Linked DNA regions of Sus scrofa. The protein of the gene in region 1 binds, or shares a complex with, the protein of each later gene. Links are inferred from orthologs where the notes say so. Each region holds a gene or a part of one and is shown in the gene's direction. Other genes may lie near its edges. The genes, in order: ASF1B and histone H3.2.

The links.
Region 2: the proteins of ASF1B (region 1) and histone H3.2 are in contact, whole or in part, in a crystal structure (PDB 5BO0), measured with the Homo sapiens proteins. The link is inferred for Sus scrofa from reciprocal best matches to the Homo sapiens genes ASF1B and H3C15. Residues at the interface, in NP_060624.1 of Homo sapiens: Val45, Ala48, Ser50, Glu51, Asp54, Thr87, Asp88, Val90, Val92, Thr93, Val94, Leu96, Arg108, Gly110, Tyr111, Tyr112, Asn114, Glu116, Leu140, Asn143, Arg145, Thr147, Phe149; in NP_001005464.1 of Homo sapiens: Asp107, Leu110, Cys111, His114, Ala115, Lys116, Lys123, Gln126, Leu127, Ala128, Arg130, Ile131, Arg132, Gly133, Glu134, Arg135.

What each region holds. Positions count from the first base shown.
Region 1 is NC_010444.4:65,066,164-65,069,979, forward strand, and holds part of ASF1B (histone chaperone ASF1B), read left to right. Parts: intron 1-2,278; coding exon 2,279-2,394; intron 2,395-3,816. UniProt on the Homo sapiens protein: Histone chaperone that facilitates histone deposition and histone exchange and removal during nucleosome assembly and disassembly. Cooperates with chromatin assembly factor 1 (CAF-1) to promote replication-dependent chromatin assembly.
Region 2 is NC_010446.5:99,197,793-99,200,338, forward strand, and holds histone H3.2, read left to right. Parts: upstream 1-1,450; coding exon 1,451-1,861; downstream 1,862-2,546. Other genes in the region: histone H2A type 2-A-like, read left to right, coding at 1-261. UniProt on the Homo sapiens protein: Core component of nucleosome. Nucleosomes wrap and compact DNA into chromatin, limiting DNA accessibility to the cellular machineries which require DNA as a template.

The sequences.
Region 1 (3,816 bases):
GCTAGTTGAACTACAGTAATTTTGTTTTTACATGTCTTTCATCATCATTGGTTTGGGGTTTGCTTTCATACATAAGGGAGGACCATCTTGTGCAGTGGTTAGATTATAAAGTTAAGGCATAAAGACAAAATGTAATGTAGTCAGTTTACCCTTAAAATTTCTCAGAAGGTTAAGTACACAGTGTTACCTGTATGCAAACATGTCCTGTATTCAGTAGGAATGAGTTTTTGCTGTGTTGATTACTGACACCCCATATCTAACAAAAATAAAGTCACTTTTAAGCATACTTCTGCTTAAAAAACTTAGGCAAGTTTAAGGCAATTCCAATTTGTAGATCCTCATTTTGATCATCTTCTATCCTCCACAGATGATTTTATCAGATCTTCTAACTCTTGAGTAAGTATTTCGCTGTTGTAGTCCTGGTTAGTTCTCTGGTTTCTTTCTGGCCTGTGCAGAGGGAGTCACTATGACCCATTTGCCTGGCTGCTTGGTTTCTCTCTTCCGGTCTTGTGATTCTTCTCTTCCAATCAGCACCTACACGGTCTTTGTTTAGGTTTTGCCTGTAGTGCCAGGGCCTGCTCTATTGTAATCTCTTTTTCTTTTTTCTTTTTTTTTTTTTTTTTTTTGTCTCCCCCTAGCACATTAGTTAAATACACCCATATGTCACTCCAGTGGTGATGGGGAAAAGGCCAGAAGGAAAAATACCAAATGATAGAGCTGCTTTAGAAAGGTGAGAACAGGAGTTCCTGTCATGGCTCAGTTGTTAACGAACCTTACTAGTATCCATGAGGATGAGGGTTCGATCCCAGGCCTCACTCAATGGGTTAAGGATCTGGCGTTGCCGTGAGCTGTGGTATAGTTCTCAGATGAGGCTCAGATCCCACGTTGCTATGGCTGTGGCGCAGGCCAGCAGCTTCAGCTCCAACTGGACCCCTAGCCTGGGAACCTCCATATGCTGTGGGCACAGCCCTAAAAAAATCAAAGATGAGAGCAGAGCTAGCTTGTTTGCTGTTCATCCAAAAACATGTTATTTCTAATTGTGTCACTACTTATCACAAAAATCAATAAACTTAGCTCCTCCCTGCAGATAATAAGAGACTGGAGTTTGACTGAACCCCAGTGAGCCCAATGGCCACCATATCCTATAGACCTGGTAGAGTCTGGTAGGAGAAGCCCAGGGTGTAAACTGCAGAGGGGCAGGAATCTAGTGTATCAAGGAAGATCATGGAGCTCAGGTGACAAACTTCTGTAGTTGTAACCCACCATTGCTGTGCTTTCAAAATTGGATGCTCTTGTGGGACATTAGACCAAGGAACAGGGCAGCTTCTAAGACAGTTCACTTCCTGTGAAAATCACAGCTTGTGAAATCTCCCCCAGCTGCTGGGGCTGTAGATTGTGTAATTTCAAAGAACCTAAAATAAGTTTCAGGTCTCCTGCCAAATTTCCCTGTACTAGCGTGACCTTGCCCCTGATACACTTGGACCTCCTGCAAGAGGCCACTGCGGTCACTGGGAATTTCCCGTGATTGATGGGCAGGGTCTCACTGAGCACTTTTCCTTGTATCTTTCCGGAACATCCCCAGGCATGGGGGTCCCCCCTACTGGATGGGATCAAGAGGGTTGTGTTGCAAGGATCACCTTAGGATGCCACATGTGTTGACTGAGTTGCTGTTGCCTGAATGTCTGAGAGCAGGCATGACTTGGTACTGGATCTGGAGGACCTGGGGACTGGCTGGCTCCCCCAGCGACCTCATCTTCCCTTCCTGCCGGCTGGCTCTCCTGGATTGCAATCTGCTGCCCTGCCCCAGTTGTCGAGGGATCTACTCAGTTTGGTGGCACCAGTCCCTGTGTGTGAAAGAGGATGCTGCTTCCTATCCCAGCACCCAGTGGGCAGGGCCCTAAAATGGCCCAACTCCCTGCTATTCCCTCCTCACCATGCCTCTGAGGCTCCATCACGTGGCTCTTAATTCAACCTCTGCCATACGGTTCACCCTCAGGCTCTAAGAGGCCCGAGTTTCCTGGGAGGTACAGAGTCAAGGTCTCCTGGCAAAGCTAGGTCCACAGAAAAAATTTCACCACTGAAAACAGAGCTTCCCACTTGCCCTAGTGTTCAGGATCATAGTGCCTGTCACTTATTGCCTAGTGGATGTCAAATGTTCTTGAGAATAAAAATCTATCAATATATTAAGGACCTATCCAAAAATAACACAGGAAGACCCTTGCACAACCTTCTTGCTGCCTAAGCTATTTCAATTACTTAACACCCCGTGTCCTTGCAGACCTGGAGTGGAAGATCATTTACGTTGGCTCAGCTGAGAGTGAGGAGTTTGATCAAATCCTAGACTCGGTACTGGTCGGCCCTGTCCCAGCAGGGAGACACATGTTTGTCTTTCAGGTAAGAAAGACCAGGCCTTAGGCCTTGACACCTTGAAACACCTCCATCTACCCAAATGCACACAAAATGGTTCATCAGTCAAAGTTCAGGTTCACATCCTGGCTCTGCTCTCAAGGACTGTCTGACCTCTCAGAGGTACTTCAAACACCTCCTTCTCCACCTTTATGTTGTATGTTACCATGAAACCCTGATTTATAATTGATTCTCATTACTCATGGGAGTTACGTTCTGTAAAGTTACTGTGAACGCTGAGTTAGTGAATTAGTGAATGCTGAACCATTGCCCTTAGAGGAAATGCAGGACTGTTCCTGCAAGTCACTTTTTTGTCAACCAGTTAATATTTATAATATTGTTTTATGCATTTTTCCATTTAAAGACACCTTGTTTTGTATTATTGTTGACTTACTCACATTGCATTCATAGCCCACAGCACTGTAACTCATGCCTGAACAAAGCTTATCTAACACACATATTTTTCTCCATAACGTACAAAGAGCCAGCCCTCTCACTTTTAGGGACTCAGTATGACTTTGGGGCCCTTTTTCTTTTTCCCTTCTTTTTTCTTTTTTTAAAGTTTTATTGACATATAGTTGATTTACAAGGTCATAATAATTTCTGCTGTACAACAAAGTGATTCAATTATGCATATACATACATACATTCTCTTTCAGATTCTTTTCCCACATAGATTGTCACTGAATATTGGGTACAGTTCTCTGTGCTCCATAGCCGGTCTCCATTGGCCAGTCATTCCATATGCCTCAGTGTGCATATGCCAATCTCAAACCCCCAGTCCATCCCCCCACTCCCAAGAACCCTTTTAAATAGCAAAATTACCAAGAAAAATGCAGAACCTGTGGCCCTAAGACCATAGTGAAAAAGACACATGTCCACAGCCTGAGACTGCCTTGATCTACCTCAGCTGGGAACATGTGCATAGAGCTACTCAAATCCCACTCCTGCTCTGTGCATGTCCTTGAATGACCATAAAAGCCCCAGAATATTGATTTCAGGGCTACATGTAAATTTTAGCGAATAGCTGAATTTATAAATGTGGAATCCATGAATAATGAGGACCCACCGTAGTTGCTAAATGGCTCTCTAATCCACCATCACAGGGGTTGTCAGAAATGCAGATATAGTTTGATTCTTAGACACGCTGAAGTTTGAGAGCCTCTGCTCAAATCTATTCACTTACCTGATCTTGGCTATTCCCACCCCAGTCTAAGCAGCCTCATCCCATCACCTAACTCCTCACCCACCTATATCCGGTCCACCAGCCAGCCCCAACTTCCCTACCTGACAACCAGGGCTGGCTTCCTAGGCATGTGATTCATGCAGTTACACTGGGCCCTGCACTTGGTATAATGTTCTGCTGTCCCTGACTGAAACCTAACTGATTTTTGAACACGAGACCCTGTG
Region 2 (2,546 bases), on another chromosome or scaffold:
GGGGCCGGCGCGCCCGTCTACATGGCGGCGGTGCTGGAGTACCTGACCGCGGAAATCCTGGAGCTGGCGGGCAACGCGGCGCGAGACAACAAGAAGACGCGCATCATCCCCCGCCACTTGCAGCTGGCTATCCGCAACGACGAGGAGCTGAACAAGCTGTTGGGCAAAGTCACCATCGCCCAGGGCGGCGTCTTGCCCAACATCCAGGCCGTGTTGCTCCCCAAGAAGACGGAGAGCCACCACAAGGCAAAGGGCAAGTGAGGCCGGCATCCGGAAGCCCACCCAGCCCCGTCCGGAAGGGGCACCTGTGAAATCAAAGGCTCTTTTCAGAGCCACCCACTCTTTCAAATAAAAAAAAGAGTTGTTACACTAGCCAGCTTTCTCCTTAACTCCACCCTTGGTAGTAAGCACGGAGGTGGGCGGAGGGAGTGCCGTTTGCCCTCTACTCCCTGCCGTTCCTCACTCGCCTCTGGAACTAGGTGCTTTAGCCGTTATTTTGCTGGGAAGCGGGTGCGGGTGGGAGTGTGGCAAATCCTAGGATCTAATTAACGCAGGTAGAGGTAGCAAACCTTGCTTGGGCGAGCCAGGGTCGACTCGGCTGCTGAAAGTAAGCAGTACCAGGCGGCCGCGACGCTCTATCTCGAAGTCGGATGCCCGGTGAGCAACTGCAGTTACTTCCCAAGCCTCTGCCCAACACCTGAGGTCTAGCACCAAGGGGACGTTCCCTCGCACACGCGCACGCCCCGTACACCCCAGTCGGTTAGGGGATAAAGACGGTTTTCGGGAGCGTAGCGGACGTGGGTTTTGGCTTGAGCCCACCGTCTTTGGAAGGGGAGTGGGGGGAGTGAGGAGGCGCCTTCGCGGCGGGGATGGGGATAACAGGTCCTGAGGCTCTCGGAAGTGGAGTCTTGCTCCCGGAGAGGGCGCAGATAACCTTCCGATCCGAAAAGCACCAAAGGGCCGGGGGGCGGGGGGGGGAAGATCGGCCAGACTAGCAGCTAACCTAGGGGGTTCTGACAAGGTAACAAGGCGTTCAGGGGGCGGGGGTTCGGTCCGGGAGGTAAAAAGCGTGGAAAGGAGGCGGGCATCGGGGGTAGCGTGTTCTAAGGGAGCGAAGGGCTGAAGAGGAACGTTCTGACACAGTCGCGCTCAAAAATGACTCTCGCCGGGAAGAAAGGAAAGACGAGGCCGGGAAAACTGCTGGCAAACTGGAAAGTAGAAAGGGAGGGAGGGAGGGAGGGTGGGGGGCGGGCGGAGGAGGATTCTGCCCAAGCCAATCAGTGGCGCTAGGGCTGGTGAGGTCACAGCCAATAGAGAGCCAGCGCGGGACTTTCAATTATTGTCCCGCCCAATCGGGACAAGCCTGTGCCTATAAAGACTGCTGCGGCGGGCGTCCCCCTGGTTACTCTCCCTTCGCTGCGCTGGTAAGCTCGTGTTTTGGCTCGCCGCCATGGCCCGTACTAAGCAGACTGCCCGCAAATCGACCGGGGGCAAGGCCCCGCGGAAGCAGCTGGCCACCAAGGCGGCCCGCAAGAGCGCGCCGGCCACCGGCGGCGTGAAGAAGCCCCACCGCTACCGGCCGGGCACCGTGGCCCTGCGGGAGATCCGGCGCTACCAGAAGTCGACCGAGCTGCTGATCCGCAAGCTGCCCTTCCAGCGCCTGGTGCGCGAGATCGCGCAGGACTTCAAGACGGACCTGCGCTTCCAGAGCTCGGCCGTGATGGCGCTGCAGGAGGCGAGCGAGGCCTACCTGGTGGGGCTGTTTGAAGACACGAACCTGTGTGCCATCCACGCCAAGCGCGTGACCATCATGCCCAAAGACATCCAGCTGGCCCGCCGCATCCGCGGGGAGCGGGCTTAGAGAAAGAAGTGCGCACTCGGCTCGAGGTTCCATCACATCCAAAGGCTCTTTTCAGAGCCACCCACAACCGCACTTGGAAGAGGCTGTGCCACTTTTCCGCGCTCTGTCCGGCGGACTCTCCCATAGCTCGGGGAAGGGAGGATGTTCGAGCCGGCAGAAGCACTGACTGGGCTCCGGGTACCCAAGTGGGTTAGAGGCCAGGTGTCCGGTCTAGCCCCCTGCTTGCTGGCCGCCTCCTGGCGCGTTAGAAGCTTTTGAGTCCTTCAAGAGTTTGGTCAGCTGGCTTCTCCGCTTTCTTGGGCGCGGCCATGGGTCCTCCTCAAAGGGCAAGGCGTCTCCACGGCGGCCCAGAACCGTAGTCTGTTCCAGGGAGGGGCGGGGGGGGCGGGGAGGACGGGTTGAGGCCGGGCGGGGTCACTAGGGGACGCTCAGGATTCGCGCTCCAGGGCGCGCAGGGGCCTGGCCTTTTACGCAGCTGGGAGCCGCGCGAGTATGGGTGCGTCGTCACTCCCCCCACACCCACGCCAACCCGGTGCGTTTCTCTGGCTCGGGAGGGAAATGGCCACCTCCGTCCGTCTGTCCATCCGTCCTCGTTTCTGTCGGGTAAAACCAGGCAGTCCTGCCTTTCAAGGGTTTGTGATTTGGGTCCTCCCTACCACCCTCTGCTTTCCCCCCCTCTCCTTTT